Drosophila melanogaster: one gene and its partners. The gene in region 2 interacts genetically with the main gene of each other region. Each region holds a gene or a part of one and is shown on either strand. Other genes may lie near its edges.

Evidence for each region. Genes that interact genetically often act in the same process or in processes that back each other up.
Region 1: of ftz (region 2) and egl, changing one enhances a phenotype caused by changing the other (phenotypic enhancement), as found in Drosophila melanogaster (one study listed by BioGRID).
Region 3: of ftz (region 2) and hth, changing one enhances a phenotype caused by changing the other (phenotypic enhancement), as found in Drosophila melanogaster (one study listed by BioGRID).

The regions. Positions count from the first base shown.
Region 1 is NT_033778.4:23,741,838-23,750,468, reverse strand, and holds the start of egl (egalitarian), read left to right. Parts: upstream 1-3,639; 5' UTR 3,640-4,269; intron 4,270-5,284; exon of another isoform or gene 5,285-5,371; intron 5,372-5,854; 5' UTR 5,855-5,966; coding exon 5,967-6,132; intron 6,133-8,631. Other genes in the region: CG34105 (uncharacterized protein), read left to right, coding at 617-1,090; CG13560 (uncharacterized protein), read right to left, coding at 2,325-2,870.
Region 2 is NT_033777.3:6,860,341-6,868,766, forward strand, and holds ftz (fushi tarazu), read left to right. Parts: upstream 1-3,983; 5' UTR 3,984-4,053; coding exon 4,054-4,801; intron 4,802-4,948; coding exon 4,949-5,433; 3' UTR 5,434-5,904; downstream 5,905-8,426. UniProt on the Drosophila melanogaster protein: May play a role in determining neuronal identity, may be directly involved in specifying identity of individual neurons. Required during embryogenesis for the process of body segmentation.
Region 3 is NT_033777.3:10,609,285-10,618,039, forward strand, and holds the start of hth (homothorax), read right to left. Parts: upstream 4,993-8,755; 5' UTR 3,716-4,992; coding exon 3,701-3,715; intron 1-3,700. UniProt on the Drosophila melanogaster protein: All isoforms are required for patterning of the embryonic cuticle. Acts with exd to delimit the eye field and prevent inappropriate eye development.

The DNA of each region.
Region 1 (8,631 bases), on a different chromosome or scaffold from region 2:
CTATTTGCGCAGTGTTATTTTTAGTGGATGTGCCAATACGGCTCAAGAAGAAAGTGCTTAACTTAGAGGATGTTTAATATAAGAACATTTAATATTAAGCAAATATTAAGTGCTCTATCACATTTATTGATGATTAAATCTTTCTTTGAATAATAATATGCTGCTTAAAAGAGAACACGAAGTGACTCTGCTTGCATTGTAGTATTCATTTTAGGAAAGCCAACTTGAAGGATTCTGGGTAGAATGGCCACTTTACCCTTCCTTATCTTACGAACTGATTGTTCCTATTGTATTTAGTTATTTTATTCAGAATAGTCCAATTACCTATTTTTGCTTAGTCACTTCTTAGTCAAAAACTATATTTGTCTAGTGCCTGTGCCGTAGATTGTTTCAGAAAATCAACAACTGCTTCAATGTTTAACTTCCCAACAATAACCTTTCCAGCTTTCCAGACGTTTTCAGCAAAACACTGGGCCACGTGCCAGATGCTAAGATGTAAACCACCCACGGATTGAGATTTTGGACCAAACCCCTCCAGATAGATCGTATAAATAGCAGACACAGATCTGGATGCTGTATAGTACTTGAGTACAGTGTTCAACAGACAGAGCTTAAGATGAGACCCGAATTCGTCCTGGCCTTTGGTTTGGTTGTCCTCGTGGCGACCGTTTATGGTGGCACCGACTCATCCTCGAGCGACTCGTCCTCTTCCACATCACCCACTTCCAATTCATCGACTCCATCGACTTCCAGCTCAAGTTCGACACCCAGCTCTTCGTCCTCCACCTCAACTCCGTCCAGCAATAGCACTACGTCTACTTCGTCCTCCACTCCTAGCAGCTCTTCTTCCACTTCGCCCACTTCCTCCACCTCATCGACGACTGCCACAACCACGGCCCCCTCCACGTCCAGCGACACGTCCTCCTCCTCCACGAGCTCCGACAGCGAGGAGGTGGACAGGCTGAGGCGCAGGCTTCGCAGGCTCCGGCGGCTGAGGCGTCAGGAGAGGCGCCAGGAGATTCGCCGGGAGAGGCAGCAGGAAAGGCGCCAGCAGAGTCGTGCTGGAAGAAGGCGCCAACGTAGGGGATAAACCATCGGCTTAACCCGATCGAACAATGAAATGGTCCAAATTGAAAAATAAATGCATACACAAAAGCAACAATCGTAGTTATGACTTGGTAACTTGGCACCTTAAAAACAAGTGAAATCATTTGGATCGAATTGTTAGTCAAACAAAGAAATTCAATATTCGGTTTCATCTTGGAAAAGAAGAAGAAGGCTACACTATATACTCTAATGAAGAATCCTAAGTAAATCATTTTCCGATCTAGTTAGTTGATCAAGTGGAACTGGTCTAAGTGCAGACATAATTCCAGATGATAACTTAATCGATTAGGAACTTGCAAATGAAAGTGAAAAATAGGAGTTTGTTCTAAGTTTTCTTTTAGTGAGAATTCATTCTTTATGTACAATATGCCATCTTAATCTATATTTAAGCTTAGAGGTTATTTAAATATGGCTTTCTGTTCAAAAGGCTTAACAATACATATTCATCTATTTAATAAACAATGTACTGTGTTTGCACACATGCTAACAATACGTTCAGCCAGCCAATCCAAAAAAAACCGTTTTGCTTAGTTGCTAACTAATTGGAGATTTGTCATTTGTCCCTGGCTTTCTAGCCAGAGCATCACCTTCAGGTACGTCAACCCAACCGGCTGATCCACGCCCACTTCGCCTAGAGGCAGTGAATCCAGCAGAAGCCGTGAGATGACCAGGTAGCGTTGGGTCCAAGGACTTTGAGGCTCTCACGGACTTTCCTATTTAGCAGCTTATGGACTGACGATCTGTTGATATATTTTGTATGATTCTAATAGTACTGTGATCCGATAAAATATCTTTCAGATTGTAACGAAAGCTATCTTGTGCTCGTTTCGAATTTTTTTGGACTGAATCGTAAACACTTCGTGGAATTAATTATCTTTAGTTCTAAAGCCTCGTGAGTTTATTTCGAAACAAGGTCTCATATATGTTCTGCATACTTTCCGGGCGTTCTGTACTTTAGGAAATTCGTTACTACGATAGTATGAAGCCGAGTCACTAGTTCAGATAGAACCAAATGGAGTGAGAAAGCTATGCGAGCTAAGAAAGCTTGCTGGTACATGCTGTGATTCTGTGGAGGACTGAAAACATTTCTCTTATGGTGTCTTAAGGTATGCAACACAAAATTGCATTCACATTTATATCTAGGGTTTATATTGGTTTTTCATGTAACAATTTTATTTGCATTGAGTTACAATGTCATGTGAGTTGGGATTCCCATTTCAGCCCCGACGGCGCTGCTGGCGCTGGCGCTCCCTCCTCTCACGGCGTCTCTCCTGGCGTCTCTGACGACGTCGGTAGCGACGACGCCTCTCCTTGCGGTTCCGCTTGGATGACGAAGAGCTACTGCTGGAGCCGGAGGATGAGGAGTCGCTCGGGGAGGTGGACGTGGTGGGCGATGTGGAGGGCGAGGTTGTGGAAGGAGACGGATTAGTCGAGGATGAGCCAGTTGAGGTGCTGGGGCTGCCAGAGGTGGTTGATCCCGTACTTCCGGTGCTGCCAGTGGCCGTACTTCCGGTGCTGCCTGTACCCGTGCTTCCGGTGCTGCCAGTGCCCGTGCTACCGGTGCCCGTGCTCCCGGTGCTGCCAGTGCCCGTGCTACCGGTGCCCGTGCTCCCGGTGCTACCGGTGCCCGTGCTCCCGGTGCCCGTGCTCCCGGTCCCCGTAGTATCGGTGCCCGTGCTGCCGGTGCCTGTGGTATCGCCACCAGCATAAGCGGTCGCCAAGATGGCAATAAGACCAAAGGCCAGGACGAATTGGAATCGCATCTTTAGCTCCGTCCGTTGAACACTGTACTCAAGTACTGTACTTTCTCTGCATTTAATTAGGGTATTTATACGCATCACCCACGATTTTTTTGGTTCATTTTCAGACTGTGTGTTTGCTCCGAATCATCATCATTTGCCGCACGTGGCTTAGTAGGATATTCTTGAGACAATTTGGCCGATGACTATCGAAAATACATTTGTTTGAACAAGTCAACAATGGGGGAATTGTGGATTTGTTAGATCTAGTTTATTCTAAGCAAGTGTGCAAACACAGGCAGCTCGGGTATTGTTTTGAGTTCTACTGAATAGCTATTCAGCCATTCTAGCAGTGCTTTAGCACTCGGCCTTATTTAAATAACCGCAAAACAGATGCGTGTTTGGTTCATAGAGATTTTGAAGGATGTATAAAAATAATATAAGATAGCAATGCCTTGAACGCAGTGGAGTTCGAGTTTTACTAAGGTTCAAGAGATAGGCTTATGGCGGGATTTTGACTCTTTAATGGAAGAGGTTCGTGTGATTAAAGCTGAATTAATAATTACTGAACTACCATAAACAGTTCTAAGGAATCTATACAATCTTTCAAAATGATTTCGAAATCCAATTTCGAATCGAAGCGAAACGAAACGGTCACACTGCTTAACAGTCGCGCCGCGAGACGTTGCCACCCGGCTAATAAAATACCAACGTTGCCGCTCAGTGGTATTCCCGCCTCGGCCGTGCACTGGCCACACCAGCCACCGCCTTCGCTTCGCCGCCCGCCATCCAAATTCGATTCGTTGGTGTTTTTCGCTGCGCTGGTGTTCGTGTGTTCGCGTTGGCGCTGTCATCATCATATCGTATCGCATCGCTCCGCTCCGAAAACCGTGGCAATTGTCTGTTTTTTTACCTGCCAGCGAGTGCGTTTCAGTTGCCCGCCAACCGGCAGGAATCGCAAATTCACGTGCGCCACTCTCCAATTGGACGAGTGCCTTTAAAACAGTGCAACAAGTGGTTTTTACAATTCTTACCAGCATTCAGTTCAAAGTGCCTAACAAACACACGCACACACATACGTAACCTACCTGACCAGCGCGCATATGTGTGTGCATGAGTGTGAGTGATACAACAACAATACAATAGCAGCAACACAGCTACGAAAATAACTAACTGCTTTCGTCGCAGTTTTTCTGCAAGTGTATGGGTTAATTGCGCCGAAAAATGTTAATTAATTGAAGCCCAATTGGAAATCGCCAGTGGCAAGAAAAGCTGAAACTAAGATCTGAACGCAGATCTGGTGAGAAATCCCAAACGCGAGGATCTGTATCGCGTGTGTGTCAATCGGTTTAAATATAGATCAGATCACAAGTGCACTTAAACAAACAGAAGGGAACGAAACAAACAAGTGATTAACCGACAGGTAATTACAGCTGCTCTTCTTTTGCATATTTTGCGCGTTTTCTCTGCCAGATATTATTCGCTTCTCCTTTATTGTTTTACCTTTCTTTCGCTTCTAATAAGACTCTTCTTTTTATCGGTGTGGCTGGAGTTTCTTGTTTTGCCACCCATACAATCGCACAAATACCTGTACAGCACATACACTCACACGCGCACAGTTATTGGCTGATTGGAATGTGTGTGCTTTGTTGTTGCCGTTCTCAATACATATTTGTTGTCAACGGTTTCTGCTTATCAATTGGAAAGCACGAACACAGCTACACCTGCACTTCTTATTGGCTTGGGCAGCCCTCCTGTTGGATAACAATAATGAGTGGCAAATTCTGTTCGGCCTGGCGAAAAATAGTAATATGCACTCCTGGGAGGGAGCTGGCGCTTTTCATTTTCCATTTCCGCTGCACATTTGTACCTTTCTTTCTGTGTCAATCACCTGTTCTGCAGCGCTGACACTTTTCACATGCCAATCGGCGGCAAAAATCAGAGGCAGCAACAAACAAATTAAAACGTGTTATATATACCCTTAGTCCCGTCGAGGTGCCAACTTTTGATCGCCAACTTTTGATTCCCACCGAATTCCATTCGAAAAGTCCAACCAAATCCCATTGTGCTCAGAGTCTTATTTGCACTAATCCCATGCAAATTCCAATTGGCGCGTTCCCATACAGACCAACATCGCTAGATAGAAAATCGTCTGGCGATCTTACGGTAATTTGATTTTGTAGATTAGCTCTTGCTTTTAAATGAAAGATATATAGAGCAGATATATTATGATTATTTACTTTCGATTCGATGCTAAGTAGTAATTGTGGCTTAGCGAGTTTTCACTGTTTTCAGTCACCGAATCTGGCGGTTTCGAAATTCTCAGCTGGCAACACTGATGCCAATTCGCCGTGACGTGGACTCCTTCTTTCGCCGCACAGTCAGCTGGCTGAATTCGCCGGTGTTTATGTTGTGGGCGCAGGAAGCAGGAAACTGCCAGTTGATTTCAAACTTTCAAGCGGCGCGCAAGGACATGCCGCAAGAGTACGGAAGTCGCAGCTCCTAGGAACGGTAGCAACTCCTTCGTACGTGTTTTACTCGCTTGAGTCTGTGCTCCTCAATTATTCACGAAGCAAAACAAAGTTTATGGCTCTGCAACTGCCCGCCGTTGCCTCGAATATTTTCAACTAGTGCAAGGCGAGCTACAAAAACAATGCAATGGCATGGGACAAGTGTCGAGATAGCGAGTGAGACGCACATAGCGTGCAGGAAAGAGAGAGCGACAGTGGCAAAGTGCAAATGTATTAAATAAATAACGAAACGAAGCTGTACAGAGAGAAAAAAATCATGTTGATTATGAACCATCGTAGAGTAAAGTAAAAGTGGGCATGCGAAAGATTTTGAGTAGGGTAAACCCTTGTTTCTCTCAGTGTCATCTAATATGTGCCTGCGGTTTGGCTACTTTCTGCCCTGTCTTTTGCTTTTGGCCGGCTTTCTTGGCGCATTGCATAAGTGTTGGCCATTTCACCTCACTAACGCTCTCCCCTTCCTCCTCCTTCTACCCGCAGATAAGCAGCCAACGTGACGTACTCGGGCGGATTAATAATTGAGCAGATAGCGGATAGCAGAGAGCAGCTAGCAGATATCAGATAGCGAATAGCGGACACAGCAGGCCCAGCAATGGAGTCCATGGAGTACGAGATGGCACGCAACATGACGTTGCTCTTCTTCCTGGAGCGACTGCTGGACAAGGGCGAGCCCCGCACCGTCCACGACCTGTCCTGCCAATTCGGCAACAAGGAGTTCACCAAGGAGATGCGCCAAATCGCCGGTGGCAGTCAGTCGGGTAAGTTCGCACTAACTAAGCCAGCACTTAGTAACTACACTTCGCAACAAGCAAATCCATATAGCCAAAATGCAACTGAAATAAAAATGAAGAGGCCTGCTATATTGATTGAATTGAAAACAGCTCTCTTTAATCAAAAAACTGGATCGAATAAAGTCAAGGAAAGTGCGCTGAAAATGCCGTGGCATTCAATTCATGCTCTCATTTGAAATGTCGCCAGCCGAGCCTGGGAAATTGGAAACGTGTGCGGTGGAAAGCGGTAGTGTACAGTGGACATTGGACACTGAACGGTGGACACTCTTGTTCGGCTGCGGTACATACATATACAATACATATTTGTGCACCTGCGGGTTTGCGTTGTTCGTCACAGTCACAGTCGATGATTGTGTTGTTCATGTTGCCTTCGAGTGGTCGGCGTCCAAGTGCACATGTCATTGCCGTTTCCATTTCCATTTCCAATTGCAGTTTGCCGATTGCCAGTTGCCGCAGGGGAGTCAGTCAGTCAGGCCTCCTCATTTTCCATCTCCCGGCTGATCTCAATGCCAAAAACCACAAAAACATGCCAAGGGTTTATCGCCTTTCATTGCAGCCGCCAAGCTGCAATCGATAATGCTCCACCCTTGTGTTTTCCACAAGTGGTATGGATATATGGGTATGGGGGTGTTGGTTTACAACTGGTCTACGAAAAACAGGCAAAGATTCTCGAGATTCTCGACTTGTGTACACGTGTTGTACTTCCATTGACAAGTCGGCACATGGAAAACTCTGGCCATGCTGTTTATCAAAATGCACGGTTAACTAACGCGAGCGACTAAAAATAGACGCAACAAACAACTTTCGGTTTTTATAAATAGCTACCACTTAGTTGAGAGTTGGGAGTTGGGTGTTGGGTGCTGGGAAGGTGCAATGCACTTTCCCTCGAGGCGAAGATATGTGAACACATTTGTTTGATGTTCTCACTTGTGGAGAGGAGGGTTTTGAAAAAGAGCCACAGGAAATGGCACGCATTTGTTTACTCCGCACCTTGGGGATTTATAGCAAATCATTAAGCTACAGCGAATCATCATGAACTTGAGTTTTATGATAATGGTCTTATGACATCGCTAATTATAATAAAATTAAGGATGTACTGCATAATTTTTATAAGATTTTTGTCAGTATTTTGTGAATAAAATAAAAAGTAGTTGACCAAATGGGGAATGTCCTACCTTCCTGAACTCGCAGTGAAATTCCCTATCGAGTGGTATTCCCAGCTAGAAATGTTAGATTTCGACCATTTTTTGCAAAATTTGATGATGTAACCCCTTATAAAAAATGCGAAAAATGATCAAATTTTTTAATTCTGAAAATCGGCAGGAAAGTGATAGGGATCTTTAGTTTAAGTAAAAAGCTGCACAAAACGGTCATTACTTTCGCTGGGCGATTGTTTTTAGCCAAGTTATGAGCTAAGACCTGTTGGAGATTATCAACTTTTGGCCATAATCGTGTTTAAGACAAGAATTACCCATACTGCTCTTGCTTGTCACACTCTTCGACTTCGACTTGGCTAATTGCAACAAGAAAACAAACATTTAACAAAATGTTTATCACATTTGTTGATTTTTTAGCCATGTGCGTGACTCTGCCGCCAAGACAAATGGTGTTTACCTCGGGTGAGCAACATTTTCGCCGAAATACAATAGTTTAGTCTGTGACTTAAAGCGCTGGTTTTACTTTTGGCCCAGAACGCAATAGACAAGTTGGAGAAAGTTCAGGGAAATACGCGGCTAACACGCAAATCGCAGCTGGATTAGAAGAATAGACTGGGAAACTGAATTAATTGAATGGGAAATGTCAAGGTCTGGCTTATAAATAGAGAAGAGTGAGTTGCGCATTCCCGAAATTGGATGTTCCAAGTATGGAACCATCGAGCCAACGTTAAGCAGTTCCTTGGCCAATGGCATTTCGATCCATTTCGGCCACTAATCCCGGTTTTCATTCCACCCGGGACTGACCTAAAATCCCACAAACATATCTTATGCCTCTTCAATTTTGTCAACGTGTTGTTTGCCCAACTTATAAGCCGTTAAGGCCGATGGGTAGCATTTTGCACCCCCGCCCACAATAGTCGGCCATCCAAGTCAGCCATTATGTGGTTTTTGGCCAGGAACGGATTGGGGGATTGGGGGAGTGGCGGAAACTTTGTAATAGAAAAGTGTCGATTACGTGACAAAAATGTTCAATTGAAATTTCAATAAAATTGCATGATATTCTGGGGACTGAAGACCACATCCATTTGTTGCTTCAATAATAAATGGAGGTGTGTGTGTGCCACCATGCATATTCCCCAGCGATTGATGAGGGTTCTCTGGTGGGGAAACATCTCCGGGAAATTAACGTTGAAAGCAATTTTCTAGCCGGGCAGGAGGAGAAACTCGAACGGCGTTTATTGGGTTAGACAAACAGTTTTGGAGAGTTTGCTAAACTGAACTGAAACTCGTTAATGGCGAGCTTAAATTT
Region 2 (8,426 bases):
ATCCACCCATTGAGACGACCTCCGGAGGAGTCGTCGGTGGGCCTCCGATCGAAGGTCACCCAGAAATGCATCCTGTCTGGCTTTCTCTTCAGTCTATAGTGAATTTTAGAAACTGAAGATTACTTCATTTATCTAGACATCTGGCAAATTCATCAAGATGATTTCCCCAGCGCAGACTTAACGACTCGATCCGATCTGCGTGCAGTTTGATTGTTAACTCAAACAAATCCCATAACGCAAAAGAAATTTTGAATAATTCTCGAGCATCGCTACTAATTAGCCGCCGATTGAGGCAATCAAATTGATTGCCTGCGATCCGAACCAAAGAAAACCTCACGCTGGGATCCCCGAACCCACCATAGACCGATTGACGCTGATACTATATATAGACGGTGTATCGGAATAGTCGGGGAATTTACACCAATCTCGAGTTGTTTGTTTTGTTTGTTGATAATTTTTCTCGGCCCTTTACTATTTTATTCCCAGCGGGTCGTCGCCTGTTTCACTGTGATAATGAGTGTGATATACTCGATTGTTTTTATCACCCCTTCCCCAATTATGTGGTATTTGGTATATAATGAGAAAACCGCCGGAGGAGATCAGCAGCAACTTCAAAGGAAACTGGCCCCAGCATGTGATCATCGCAGTTTTTCTCAAGCTAGAAAACCAAACAAATCCCGAGACTAACTGACACTGTGGTATCCTATTGAGTCTTATGTAATGCCCCACTGTTGGCAGGTGCTGCATTGGCCCATTTCTAATAGGCTTTTGAAGTTTCAAATATTAATCGTCTGCAGGCAGCAGGATCACCAATCGATAGGCCAATAAAAAACAATACCCTGTGTCATCTGTGTATACAAGGCAAAGTGCGGTATTTTGGATATATGTAAAAAGCCAGCTTTACCACTATTGGCAGGTGCTGTATTGGGCCATTTATAACAGACTTTTGAAGCTTCAAATATTAATGTGCTGCAATCAGAAGAATCGCCAACCGATAACCTAATAAAAAGATAATGCCTTATTATCTGCGTAAACCAGACATATTACGAATTAGTTTGACATCTCTAGACTTATATAAATGTTTAAATGGTTTGAATTACTATAACTACTATAATAGTCATATGGAGAACTTATGTGCATAATTTAATCCAAAAAATGTTACGGCGACAACTCAATAATTAATAATGTTTGTGGATAATAGCATACAACTTTTTGGCAAGAAATGACAGTTTAGTTTCCTAATGATCTTGGTCACTTTGGATTCGCTTGACCCACGGCAGCTGATAACGCTGCTCCGGGAAAAATAACGATGAGATTGACTTCAACAGCAGCCAGAATATATCTGTGGGCTGGGAATTAACACATTGGCCTCCTCCAGGCGCGTGCCCGTTTCACCTTCCCGTGCATTTATGAAAAGTCTGCCGGACCGACCCACCGAACCGTCCGCTGTCTAGCTCTATACGAGTAGATGTGTATCTGGCTGTTAACCCCTCTGGAATTGCCAAAAATGTGCAACGGCATCAGCGAAAGAACGGCAGGAAAGATGGTCGGAATCGGGGAGGGGTTCAAACTCCAAAGGATATAAGGGACATGGGACATGCAGCTAGTCGGGCACAATGGGATGGTCCCGATTCACTGTCAAGGTAATTTATTAATTCGACAATAAAATCGCACGAGTTCTTGGGACGAGCTCCGGATTCGCATTCTATGTTGGGTTTGGGTGCGGACTTGCGATGGGGTGTGTTGTGGTCGGACACTCGCATGTGGGCCTTACAACTCAATTAAAGTTGCCTGGGTTCTGGATCTGAGCTCGCTGCATTTCCGTGGAGAACCGGGTGGGCAAAGTATTATATGACCATGTGCTAGGTTTGGATTAAGCTTAACAGAGGAATTTGTGAAATCCAATCGTTCGAAAGTGAAAAAGTTAAGTGCCCTTATGCCACGTAAACCCATCATTAAATATTTACAAAAACAAACCATTCATAAACAGCTAGACAAGTTAGTTTAAAATCTTAGGCCATGTTCATGTAAAATAATTCAACTAATTAATCTTTTTAAGGTATAATTCAATAAGTATATATCTAAATTCAAAGACCTAGTCAAAAGTAGTAGCCCTCGCCCTTATTTATTGCGTTAAAAAAGGATCCTAACAATATTTAAATAAAATGAGATGAAATTATTTTAGTAAATGATTCGGTATCGAAAGAATTTTATTTTTGGGGAGCTGTTTTTCCTTTCTTTGATTGATAGATATAAACATAAGTTATCGGATGGTTTTATATCCTACTCTACACCCTTATTGTTAAGTTTACTGCAAAACCAGAAAGGAGGCTCACATTCACTGGCAATATAGCAATCACAGGACATCGGAGAGATGCGAACTGCAGTCTCTTCTGTCAAACTGAAAAACGCCATAAATTTTGTGGAACAATGGAATCTGCCAGAGTATGCGGATGGGGTAAGGGTAGAATTCGCACATGCACACATATGTCAGGAGTATCGATATGTTAGGGGTGTTCAACGGGGGTGGCTAATAAAATTTATCCAGGCCGCGTAAGCCGATCAGAAAGTCATGTAAACACAAAAGTGGCTGAGAGATGATTGTTTTTTACCAGTCAATTTAGCTGAGCTGATTTCAGGTTATACGCGAACCTAAGATGGAAGTAGATTTTTAGATTACCAGAAATAACCTTCAGTTTCTAAAAGAATGAGAAATAGTAAATCGTGAAGCCTGTGGCATTCTTACCCCTTACTGAAATGAATGTAACAGGTAGAAGGCAGCAATTGCAGTGCTACAAAGTATATATATTCTTGATCCATATAAGTATAAGTATAAGAGCTATAATGTTATAATTAAACATGAAGATCCTACGCTGTGCAAGTTTTGTGCCACAAATTTAACTCAAGATTACCACTCACAAAGGATACATTACCATTTGGCCATTAAAAATTACAGCATCCATAGACAACCTACTTAAAATTTATAAAAACTTGAGGGTTATATCACAGAGTTACCGAAAAAAAGCGTAAAAGCTTTATATTCTCAACAATATTATGCTATTAAAATATTGCTGGTTTTCTGCTGTTATAGAATCATTTTTAAAAGTATAACGTAAAAAATAAAATAAAACTAGTATTCATTTGAAAAATCAGCGGGCATATAATTTATATCATATTTTTAAAATTTAGGCAAAGGATGTTTGCATAAAGTTTTTACTGTTTACTAGTCATTTTGGAAGTGCGTTTGTTGGTTTTTAGGCAAATACCGGGCACAGGAGTGAGTTTGGGAATCGGGAGTTGCGCACTTGCTTGGCCACGAGGGCAAACAAAAAGCGCAAACACGCGACCCTCGGCCACGCGTATTCCTGATCCCAGGGATCGGACGTAATGTTATCCTTTGGCCGCCCAGTGCCACGAAATAAATTCGGAGGGAAAGGGCATCGGGTTCCGGGAACAACTGGCAGCCAGTCTTCGGTGTTTTGCGCGCTGGCAAAAATCCAGAGAAATTTTTAGGGAACCATAAACGGGCCGGGGAAAAAGCCTCTGCCCCGAAGGAACGTTTTCAGCAACAGTTTACAGTTTTTATGTCTTTATGATTATTGCAATTAGAGGGAGATCGGCTGAGAGTCGCGCCCTCTCGCTCTGCGCACCTCATAGGTAGGCACCTCATGGCCGTAATTACTGCAGCACCGTCTCAAGGTCGCCGAGTAGGAGAAGCGCGCGGGCGGATAAATCGCGATGATAATGGGCGCGATGGGTAGGTAATAAGCCGCGCAGCAGGTAGGCACCGTACGGATAAAGTTGCCAGGACCTCGGATAACTTCCCCTCTCCGTGCCTGCAAGGACATTTCGCCGGAGGGGTGGCTGCGAACAGCAGGCGGCAAAGTGTCATGCGCAGGGATATTTATGCGCTATAACGGCGAGCGTGTGCCGAGGGCTCTCTGATTTTGCTATATATGCAGGATCTGCCGCAGGACCAGCTCATTCGCAAACTCACCAGCGTTGCGTGCACATCGCAGAGTTAGAGAAGAAATCTAGCAATACACATCCGATATGGCCACCACAAACAGCCAGAGCCACTACAGCTACGCCGACAACATGAACATGTACAACATGTATCACCCCCACAGCCTGCCGCCCACCTACTACGATAATTCAGGCAGCAATGCCTACTATCAGAACACCTCCAATTATCAGGGCTACTATCCCCAGGAGAGTTACTCGGAGAGCTGCTACTACTACAACAATCAGGAGCAGGTGACCACCCAGACTGTACCGCCCGTGCAACCCACCACCCCGCCGCCCAAGGCCACCAAGCGCAAGGCCGAAGATGATGCTGCTTCCATCATCGCCGCCGTGGAGGAGCGACCCAGCACACTGAGGGCTCTGCTCACCAATCCCGTGAAGAAGCTGAAGTACACCCCCGACTATTTCTACACAACCGTCGAGCAGGTGAAGAAGGCTCCCGCCGTAAGCACCAAGGTCACCGCCAGCCCCGCTCCCAGCTACGACCAAGAGTACGTGACTGTGCCCACGCCCAGCGCCTCCGAGGATGTCGACTACTTGGACGTCTACTCGCCCCAGTCGCAGACGCAGAAGCTGAAGAATGGCGACTTTGCCACCCCTCCGCCAACCACGCCCACCTCTCTGCCGCCCCTCGAAGGCATCAGCACGCCACCCCAATCGCCGGGGGAGAAATCCTCGTCAGCTGTCAGCCAGGAGATCAATCATCGAATTGTGACAGCCCCGAATGGAGCCGGCGATTTCAATTGGTCGCACATCGAGGAGACTTTGGCATCAGGTAGGCATCACACACGATTAACAACCCCTAAAAATACACTTTGAAAATATTGAAAATATGTTTTTGTATACATTTTTGATATTTTCAAACAATACGCAGTTATAAAACTCATTAGCTAACCCATTTTTTCTTTGCTTATGCTTACAGATTGCAAAGACTCGAAACGCACCCGTCAGACGTACACCCGCTACCAGACCCTGGAGCTCGAGAAGGAGTTCCACTTCAATAGATACATCACCCGGCGTCGTCGCATCGATATCGCCAATGCCCTGAGCCTGAGCGAAAGGCAGATCAAGATCTGGTTCCAAAACCGACGCATGAAGTCGAAGAAGGATCGCACGCTGGACAGCTCCCCGGAGCACTGTGGTGCCGGCTACACCGCGATGCTGCCGCCACTGGAGGCCACAAGCACCGCCACCACCGGGGCACCATCGGTGCCAGTGCCCATGTACCACCACCACCAAACCACCGCCGCCTACCCCGCTTACAGCCACAGTCACAGTCATGGTTATGGCCTGCTCAATGATTACCCTCAGCAGCAGACCCACCAGCAGTACGATGCCTACCCGCAGCAGTACCAACATCAGTGCAGCTACCAGCAACATCCACAGGACCTCTACCATCTGTCTTGAGGTCCGGCGATGCTCAGTTACTCTCTTCCCCAGAGCGGAACCGAAAGCCGTACCGCCACGAAACCGAAGCGCACTTCTCTCGACCATTTGTAGGTGACACGCAAATGACACAGCCGAGAACGAAGCTGCGACGCGATGAGTTGCACAGTAGAGGGCGCACTCCCTACGGTGCCCAGGACATTTTGGGCACAAGGACGAGTGCGCAAGTGCAGAAGGCAGAGGCAAAAGAGGCAGCGCAAACAGAAAAGGAGCCTTGCTGCGCGCGGAACCCAGTGGCTGGCCATGATGGGTTCTCAGCGATCGATTAGCTGCGGCCAAACACAAGCCCAAAACACTCAGCTGGGAGTGATAATGGCCAAGAGACTTGGAGACTGACACACATGTTTTTGTACATATAGTAGTTAAGATATTCCTATCATAGAATTCTATTTATTTAAATATACGAGTAAAGTAAATCGATCGAATTTAAACAAATCAAGTTGAACATTCATTTGGCAATTTGTGAAGAAGAGTCTTGGGCATGCTGCAATTTGACTGCTTTAAAATTTTAAATTTATAGGCCGTGGGCCGCGTATGTGGAATACATTTCATATGTATATGTGTTGAAATAAAATTAAATGCCTTTCAATGATAACTACTCAATAAATTCTTAAAATAGTTTGGATCAACGTATGGTATTTGTCTAACTACTTTCACCGAAAACATATCACAAGGCAAAGTTTACCTTCAGCCTATTTTCATACCTTATATATGCATATAATACATATATATGATAAAAATGGAGTTTAGGAGTTAAGGAGTTTAAATTATTTAAGTATAAGCCTAATATTTAATTGTTCGTTGAGAAGCTTAAGAGATCTCTTGGTTTACTTTCTGATGAATTGCACATGGTTGAAGCATTACTTTCGAACTTATACGAAACGCAAACGATTTAATGTTGAGCACGAATCGTACAAATTCGAGCAGCTGCATTTTGTCGCTTCAGTCCCCCTCATCCCTGACCCATTGCTATCTCCCGGATTTTCTATTAAATGCACTCTTTTCGCCAGAGAAAATGTCACATTTTGGTCTGGCTTCGGGGCATATCTACCACCGCATCCCTGCTCCCTTCCTCCCTCCGCCGCTGCACGTTCCTCTATTGAAGTGAGACATTGATTGGTAATTTTTCATTGCACATCCGTGACAGTTATGGGTAACGCAACGCAAAAGGAAAAGCCCGGTGCGGAATCGGATTCGGAATCAGAATCAATATCAAAGGCAAAGGGGATCCATGTGCAGTCGAATATATCCCGGCACCATTTATCCGACTCATTAGACAAAAGTGGTCGGTGGGTGAGTTCGAAGTGGCATCTGTGGGCACTTTAGTGTTAGGTGCGAATTGGTGGCATTGGTTAAGCTTAGTGGTGATATGTATCTATGCCGCTGCGAAAGAAATTTTTTGTCTGATTTAATGATTTAGATGGCTTCAATGTGCTACTTAATTGATTTGGAAACCATGTACATTTTGTTCAAATATTTTATAAAATAAATATTTAACAATGAACAGACCTTCAATAGATCAGATTCTATCCTACCCTTCTAGAATGTAGTTATGACAGACAAATTAGTTAACAGATATAAATCAAAAGACCGAAAACGGAAGAATCCCTTTGCAAATTCGAATTTGTGGCATTTTTGCAATTATATAATTAGGCCATAAATATATAAACGATGGTGGTTGGGTAAAAAAGCCCTACAGTGACATACATATCTACAATACAAACTACTTGGCAAATACAGTATGCGTCAGAAATATAAGTCAACGAAGTATTTATATTTTCTAAATAGTCAACTTTTATTAAACCCGTTACGCGTATTAGAAAAGGGTATACTTGATCCGTTGAAAAGTATGTAACAGCTAAAAGTTTTTCCGTATAAGCTAGGATTCCAGAGATGCACACACACAATTAATACGTTGAAATTTCTTGTTCGTAATCCTACTAGGTGATAGTCGAAAAACTCGACAATACCATTCCCTCTAGTTGTTTTGCAAACATCAACCAAGCGGATTTTACTGGTTCCTTTGACTCCTTAAAGTTATCAATTAGTCAACATTAAACAAACGAAATTGCAAGGACATTTACCCGTTTCTTAAAAGTCAACATCTCTTTTCATACGTTTCCTTGGAAGTTAAAGAAAAACTCAAGAAACTGGTAAAATATTTACGTGTAAATTGCGAAAGAGTTACGTTAACTCTTCCTGTGTCCTTCTGCGAAACGAAGTCTTTTTTATCCTTTTTATTCGCATTCTGCTTTATTAGAGGTCCTCGGAGTCGGTTCTTAACTCATTCGCGAGCCATAAACCCCGAGATTCGCGGAAAGGGTATTCGTTGTGGGCGGAATCCTTTTGCAAACCCGGTTTCAGTCAAGGCTGCAAAGTCAATCCTTTAGCATAATCCTTTAAATAGCCAAAATAAAGCCCGCCTTTGTCAAAACAAAGCGATTCGCTGGCAGAACTCGTATTTGCGAATAGGCGTGCCATTGTGTCCACTTAGCCGGCAGGTACCGCCTCCTCAAAACCCTCGGTCGCGGAGGACTCCTTGGTCTGCATCTCTATCCCTTCCACCAGCCTCAGCCATAACGATCGTAAAGTTATCCTTTCGCAAACACGAGCATACGGTTACCGCCTTAAGCTGGCGAAGGAGTTACAAAGTCATAAAAACAAAACACCTTTGTCCGCGCAGCATTGTCAGTTGGCGAATTATCCGTTCAGTCGCCGCTGCCGAATCCTTAATCCGTGCCGTTTTTATAGCCAGTAAGTAGATGGAGATAGTAGGAAATTCGCGATGGGCTCGTCCCTGGCGAAAGGGGAAGGAACACGACAGGCTAGAGCCGGACTGCCAAGGATAAGCCTTTAGCTGGAAGGGATTAAATTGCATTATCCTTATGTTAAAGATAAACACGGAGCGGCTAATCCAAAACATTAGATCAAGCGTGATATTCAAATTAGGTCGG
Region 3 (8,755 bases), 3.7 Mb from region 2:
ATATCGAATCAAAAATAAATCGAAAGAAAAGAAATTTTGAAAATATTTTTAGCTGCTTTCTGGGAATTTAAAGCCCAGCGAAAGCGAAGACAATTTAATGGCCGAAATTTAAGGAAAATGTTTGAAATTTAAATTGACGGAAAATGGCGGAAAAGGCAGTATGGCATGCAAATAAAATAAACTTGTGTTTAAATGGAATTAAACGAATATGTCTCGAGTTAATTGATTATATTATATTTATAATGACGAATGGAATATGCAAGTAGAAGAAAATATACTCTCAGTAATTGTTTTATTGGCCTAAATTAACTATCTGATTCCCAACTTCTCGGCTATTTAATTAAATTGCTGAAGACAAGGACTTGGCCAAGTTTGCTAACAAAATTTCTGGCCCAAAGAAACAAAAGTCTTTTGGAGTTTGGCATTTTTGCCGGGGCCAAAAGTTACTCAAAAATACGAAAATAAATTGCGTGCTGATGGCTCATTTAATTTAATGAGCGGCGTGCAACTTGTCTAAATGATTTTTCCTCTACTTTACAACACATTTTTTCTTCACATTTTTGTCTGTACACTTTTTCCGTTTCAGTCCCTCGTTTTTTTTTCTTTTCTTTTTATAAAGATGGAGAAAAGAGTTCACCACCAGCAAAAATAGTAATTCCACTTTATTCGATGAATATTAGCAAAACACTTTGACTTAATGTTTGGGGAAATTACGGCAAACGAAAAACGGGCAGCGATATTTAAAAAACTTTTAAGCGTAAATGCAAAAAGAAATGAAACTAATGAAAACACTTTCAACGGCAGCCAGCGACCTCGTCAAACTTGGCAACTATGTGTGTGCTGTAGTAAGCCAGAGAGGCCGGGAAAAAATAAGTAAAATAATAATACTACTCTATAGGCTATAACAACAAAGGCAACAACTATATAGCACCAGCAGGCACCGACCCAAGAATCAGGCACGCAATTTGATCATTAAACATGAAGCTCTTTAGCACACGAAAAACAACATCGGTGGAAAGTGGGAGAAGTGGAGGCCCCATATAGAGTCTTATGACCCCCTCCCCCTGCGCACCCCTTGCAGAAATATGCATATGTAATTTGTTTATAAATATTCCTCTCAGCCTGACGCTTCCTATTCGCTCAATTTTCGCTGGCATGTGAAGCGTCTGCCGAGCGGATTCTCAACCGAAAGCCAAGATATATCTGAAATCTCCTGATAAACGGGGGGTCGTGGCAAAGGGGGTAAGTGGGGAGCCCATGAGTCATGCGGTGAGGCTGGGAAGACTGGAGAATTGCTCACTTAATTAGAAAAGAATTCGCGACGAAGGTTGGTCGCTGGCAAAGATTAAACTATTGCAATATGATAAGGACTAGGCGGGAAAAAATATTACTATACTTTGCTGACGAATGTTATTTTGTAACATAGGGAATTTCAAATTCAATTTATTGTTATTAATGGAATGAGTTCAGCAGTTGGTATATTTGAAAGTACACATTTCAGCGGACCATTGTTATATACTGATAATATATACATATATAACTAGAATTTTTTTCCTGGCTCAACAAAAAAAATGTTTTAGTTTGCCACCTAAGTCGAATTCCGAATGTTTCCATCAACTTTTGCAAATGCTGCTGGCCACTAAAGTAAACCACAGAATCGACTGTGGCATTTTCCGCTGCTCCGCTCTCCTTGATCTTTTCTATTTTGATTTTGATTTTATTTCTAAAGCGAACGAGAAATACAAAAAATAGCTGAACAAACACAGTGGGAGAGGCGAGCACACGATAGACGAATTATATTTTATGCCACAAATTACGCTGCGGTTAACCTTTAAATTAAAATAACACCAAAACAATTTTTGTGCTGCATTTCGCAGGCGTTTGAAATGGCACACGAACTGAAAAATGGTGGGAAAAGTGAGGGGGCGCGGGGGAGAATGGCAGCAGCTGCAATGCACATTTTTATACAAATTGCAATTGCACATTTTTTTTTTTTGCACATTTTACACGGCCGCTCTTTCTCACTGTTTCTCTCGTTTGCTCTCCGTTTCGATGGCATAAAATAATCAAATTAAATATATATAAAAATGCATGTGCAGTTTGGTTTGAGAAGAACCCGCGAAAATTGCTTCCCGCCATTTTTCGCAAATTATAGCAGCGCAAAGTCATGGAAAATGGTAAAAATAAAATTGTAAATAATAAAACCACGAAGCGGCATAAACTGAATGGATCGCTTTTGGGCCGCTGGCAATGTGCAAAATGTGCAATAAAATTATATGCATCAAATGCACACAAACAGACAGAACACCCGTATATATTCACATACTCGTACATACATACATATATCTCTCGCCCCGAGTCGAAAAATTCATTTGATGGAATTGAAATGGCGCGATTCGGGTAAAGAGCCGCAGGAGAATTACGAAAAAGGGGATTCAAAGAGGTAAATTCGGCACAGAATCGGGTATTAAACCACAGGCGTAAATTTATTCGCCAGTAACGCAGACACACACAAAATTCCCGCGGGCATTTCTTTTTTCCCATCTCCATTTCCATTTCCATATCCATTTTTATTTTTTATATTTCTTTCTGATTTTTTTAATGCTCCCAAAGAGCATGGCCCACCTTTTGGTAACACACACACACACACACACGCTAATTGGTAGCACACACACAGGCAAACGGCCATGTTTGAGGTCTTTTTGCTCCGTTAAATAAAAATCAAGTTCACTTCGCATGTCCATGATAATCAATTGATAAAGTCTAACTGCGATTTGGTAATAATATTTTTTTGAAGAGCGGGCGAGCGGAGACTGCCGGTCACCTGATTAGCATATAATTTACGATCCAGATGGATTGTAAAAATTATTACTCCGTTTAAAAAGCGAGGCGAGAATTTATGCCTTATAAACGTGATGGAAAATGGTGGAATCATTGTGGCTATGCAACGGGGGGGCTTTTCGGAGGTGAAGGTCCCAGCCATGTTTAAACAAAAATCGAATCAACTATTGCGGTGTGAAAATGAAAAGTTAAGGGGAAAAGCTAACAATTTTCAATAAACATTATTTAATGATTTTCTAGAGTAAACCGTTGTTTAATGTAATACAATATCTATCACTATTTCGGCGATCTTTGATTTCCATCACTTCCCAAATAAAATGGTCTAGCTGCAGACTCAGTTAATTATATAAACTTGTACCAGAAAATGACCCGCATAAATCAAATGTGATTTCTGTCCTATTCCAATACACATAAGCACACACACACACACACACTCAGAAACGCTTAGTTAAAATTCATTTTGATAGGGCTCTAATAAACAAGAACTATTCCCCATTGAATTGATTGTAATGGGTTAAATTGGAGAAGCTTGGAGGCCATGTATAAGAAATATTTATATAGATCTACTTCATGAAGTTGGATTAACTAATATCTGAAGATTTTTAAAACTTTTTGCGTATTCTGGTTATAGATTGATTTGGTTACACTGGTAACATATCCATGATATGAAAACTGTTACAATATCATCATAAACTACAACCTGTAAGTGCCGTCGGCACCACTTGACTTGATTACAAATTGACTGAACCCCATTTGTTTTTTAGCCGTCGGAACTTGTTTAAGGATAACAACACTCTCGGGGGACCATTCTATATGGATTCTATATATTTAGAAAGTGAACTTTGGTGGATCTACTTACCCTGGGCTGAGCCATTAATGCTCTGGGAGCGACGTCTAACCCGATTTGTGCCACTTTTTACAGTAGGAACAACAAATGGGGGCGCAACACACTGACCGACGTCCCGCTCCGCCGCTGCAACTGCTTCGGTTTTAGGGAAGCTCTACTGTAGCTGCCCGTGTGGAGTCCTTAGATTTACTCTTGGCTTTTCCAGTTCTTCAGTTTTGGATGTTATTTTCTTGGATTTTTATATATGTTTTGCACTTTTTTCATGTATTGGGAAGCCTTTGCTTTTTGAACGCTTTGCTTCTTGATTTTGCTTTCTTTTTTTTTAACACAGGCACATTTGTTTAGATTTTATGTATTATTATTACGTTTGTATACTTGTTGTATTGTTGATGTTGTCGTTTTTGTTACGCGCGCGTTTGTTGTTTGTTTTCTAGAGCGGGAGATCTGGTTTTGAATGTTTTTTTTACTTGTGTGTTTGTTATAATAATTATTTACATAGCATTTGTTTGGTTTATAAAAATCGTATACAATTTGTTGTTGGTTGCCGTTGCAGTTGTTGTTGTTGATGTTCTTGGTATACTCGTGTATTGTAGTAGTTGCTGCAACATCATTTGTTACTGGGTTGCATTTGTTGTTGTCATAAATCCATGGCGTTTTTTCCCTTTTCCTCTCTCTCTCGTTTTGCGAGTTTCCTTGCCTTTTCCTTGGTTATTTTTATAGTAGTAGTTGTGGTTGCTTTTAATTTTTATTTGTTTGTCGTATACTCTTTTTGCTTTTTTCGTATAATATGCGCACTATTTATCACAGCTGCTTCTACATACTACGTTACTAGAGATGAACAAATTATATTGTTAATATATAATGCAATATATTCTGTTGTGTTTTTGCGACGGCAATTTGCGTGTTTCTTTGTTTTTGCGGGGGGATCGGCGGGATCCCCTCGTTGAAAGAAATTCCCTCCGCGGCCCTCAAATAACAGTATTTATTTTGGCCTTCAATTGTGAAAAGGAGAACTTTTCGATTGTGATTGAAAAACACACTAAAAAACGTGATTGTTTTGTTCGCGCGATGGAAAAACGCGCGCGATTTCCAAAGTGTTTCTTGTGTTGTTTATTTGTTGATTGATGGCAAAACGCGTGGTTAACGGGCAATAATAATAATCATAATAATAATAAACTTCACCGACGGCAACACTTTTTCGCTTTTCTTCTCTTTTTTATTCGAACGCAACGCAACACAGACACACGTCGTACGCGCTTCGCAGTCAAAAATACACTGTGCGGATGAAAGATATTTCATCGAAAAACCAACCCGCCAGATACGTTTGAATTTACGCTACAGTCGGACGTGTTTCCACTCCTAACATCGCTGTTAACTAACAGCGAAGAGAGCGCTGAGCGACAAACAACAGCAAAGTCAACGGGTGCAAGCGGTGCGGCATGATTGTCAATCATGCAGCTGCCCCGCTCTGTTCAGATGCAACAATTGTGCCATTAACTCGCTCTTGGCCATAACTCAGCGAGTGCAAGCGAGAGGAATATATGGTTTATGCGAACGCTCCGGCGAATTGCCTGCGCAGGCGCGCTCGCATCCTGGGCGACGATGACTGATTTGTTGGTACGCCTCTTCTGTCATACACACACTTGTCATTCACATGCATATACAGTACCGTACAGCGGTGTTCTATCTCTTTCTCTTTCTCAGTTTTCGCCTCTTTTTGCGCAATGTTCGCCGCGTTTGAAATTTATTTGGCTTTGGCCAAAAGGAGACGGCTTATGGGTTTTTCGCCCCTCTGCCGGCGTCGGCGTCGAAAATCAGCAAAAACCAATCCCATTTGTTATTTTCGCTTGAGTGAGTGGCAGTTGGCAGCTTGGCTCTTTTTCGCCGCACCTTTACAGGTTGAAAGGCAGCGAGAAAGCTTCAGTTGTCCATCAGCTTCAGCTTTCGCTCACTTTTCGCTCTCTTTTGGCGCCCCCACACACACTCGCACACACACACTTTTGCCCGAATAGGCAACGCCTTCGAAGAAAAGCGGCAAAAAAGAGAAGAAACTTGAAGGAGAAGAAGAAGAAACGTGGACGACAAAAACAAACTTTTCGCTGCAGTTCCTTTATTGCGTCCTTTTGGCTTGTAACGGTGATCTGGCCACTTTGGAAGGATATGCGATCCTGACAACAACAAACAGCTGTTCGAGTTTCTCCTCTCTCTCTCTTTCTTACTTCTTGGGGAACAACAACAAATGGAACGGCGATAAATTGTCAAAAACATTCGCTGAAAATTGCATATTTTGCAGGTCATTCTGCGCTCCTGTTTGGCGAATCTACTCTCATTTGGTTTTTTATATACCCTGTACAAATGGTGTTACATCTCAAACCAAAAATAAAAAATTGAGGAAACGGGCTTTTGCATTATTTGAACAAGTTTTTTGATGACAAGTATGTTTGGGCAATTTTCAGTCAATTGTGATATCTTCGGCGTGATTGTACAAATTTTTTTTTACATTTTAAACTAAAATAAATTAGTCCAATTTGTTTTACCAATAACTACAGGGTAACAAGGTATGCCAATCTTCGTATTCAGTCCGAAATCCTGTCTATTGTTGCTGTTATTGTTACTGTCGTGTCGTCGTCCTCGTGGCAGTTTAAAAAGCAGTTAACACATATTCCCAGGCCATTTTTCACCAGCGTATTTTTGGCTTGGCGCTGCAGTTGCCATTACGCCGAAAGAGACGGGGATACTGGCGAGCGAGAGAGACGGGGCGATTTGGCCGGCGTTTTTAGGAAAATGAAAAATAGCCTTGTTTGTTTTCCGACGCTCGCCAAAAGGATTTCCCGTGTCTGTTTTCGCTGGTCAAAAAGATGATGTTGCACTTAATCTGGTTGCCATTTCATCCCGAAATCCCAAACCCCCAAAATCTTGGGAACTATGTATGATATAGGTGCTCTGTTTCTGCGTCTTGTCAACACTTTGACAAATTTATGAGACTTTGATTGATTTGCGGTTGCTTTTTCCCTTTTTTCGTTTCGGGACTCGCTTTCTTTTGGCTTTTTCAGACGTCCAACTTTTGTGCGTCTGCTCGGGCCAAAAGCCAAGTAATTTATGTGAAACAAAAATCACATAAAATCGAATCAATTAAGTGCAATAAATTAGTGAAACGCTTAAGTGTGGGAACTTTTCAGACTTATCGGTGACCAAGTTAAATTCGAATAGATCGATCGACGCGGTAGCAAAGTTCAAGGATCCCAACGAAATGTTAGACAAATGAAGTTTATTTGTTTAAGAAAACTCGAGGTTTTCTGAGAAGCGCTAATTGAGGAATAGAATATACTTAGTTCGTAGAATAATACTGAGTGAAAAAATGTTTTCAGATGAAATTTAATAAGAACAGATAACTTAAATTTCGAAGAATGCAAATAAAGCGGACAGCTCCAGAAAAGCTCAAGAATTTTTGCAAATGAAGCAGGAATTTAATTTAATATTTAGAACTTTGCCAAATTGAAGGGACCATGAAATTTAAATCACCGAAAAAGGAAAATAATCAAGAAGCGAGAAGAGCGAACGGTGGGGGGGGGGGTGTACAAAAGGAGGGGCAGGAAGCGAATTTAGGGGGCTGGGCCTCCACCCAGTGAGCGAAAAAAAAATGAAAGAAGAAAGCCGAAAAGGAACCGACTCGGGAAAACCTCAAGGAAAATTGCATTTGGAAACTTCCAATCCCAGACGAGCGAAAGAGAGGGCAGAGAGGGAAAGCTTACCCATACACGTGCACTCACACCAATTGGGGGGCCAGCCAATATGATTTAAACACTCACGCACGCACACACACAGGCACACACTTGCGAACACCTACAGTGATGTTAACGCCGGCAGTGCAGTCGGCGTCGCCGTCGACGCCGGCAGAGAAGTGTGTGTTGTGTGCATGACAATTCATCTCTTTCTTATAAACGCAATTTATCAAACGCAAACGACGAGCGACAGCAAAAGATGAAGACGACGACACGATATCAACTTGATGTGGCGCCATCTCGCTTGCTCCCGCTCACTCACTCAAGCAAGAACCGAAACAGAAAGCCAAAAACAAAAAAATGGCACATGAAGAAAAATAGGAGTTGCCGTCGGCGCTCTTCTTCTTCTTCGCCGTCGCTGCGAAATACGAAAAAAAAACATCGAACACACAGAAACAGCAACAAAGTGACTGAAACCGCCATAATCTTGACAGACAAGTGCACGCGCTCTTTTCGCCGCGCTTTTAATGGTTTGTTTTTGTCTGAATTCGCCGAACAGCGCGGGAGAGAGCGCCGAGCGAGATGGCATGCGTTGCAGTTGCGTTGGAGCGAGAGGCCCTAAGTGTTTTATGGCAACGCGTTTTACAGCTGTTTCACAGTTGTGCAGCCATTGCAAGACTAGGCATGTAACATGATTTGAGAGTCATTGGAGTTTAAGGATCTTCAGTATTTAGAGTTGTATGTTCACTGTTTTTATTTATAAGGTATATAGTCGTTCAAATCGTGATTTATTCATATAATTTGTAGGATGTAATCGTTTTAATATTGTTTGACTGTTCCTTTAGTCTGTATACTTATGTTATTGCATATATTTATTTATTCAGGTTTTATTGTTATATTTTTAGTTTTTTGCACCGATATTTTTTAATTTAATACATAAAAAACTGATTTCTGTTAAGAAGCGCGCGAATTTTGATTCCGATTACCGCCTACAATTCATTTATCCTAAGCCAAAAATTATACAATTCATATAAAATCAGAGGTCCTGTCAAAAGGAGCTGTATTTTTAACACGGAATTTACCAGTTTACCTGCATAGTTACCTGTTTTGGCAGTTACTTGATCTTCCATGAATCTTCCTTTTGCCTACTAATTTTTTTGTGACTTTCAACGCTTGAGAAGGCCCATAAAAGGCTTAGGACACTTGTTCATAAATCTACCTGATCTATTGCGACTCACACCCTCTACACAGAAAGAAACAAGAATATTCCTAAAATTTTTATTACTGTAAGTTATTTGAATTTAGAAATATGCACAACAAAGATTAAAATCCGAGGCATTTAAAA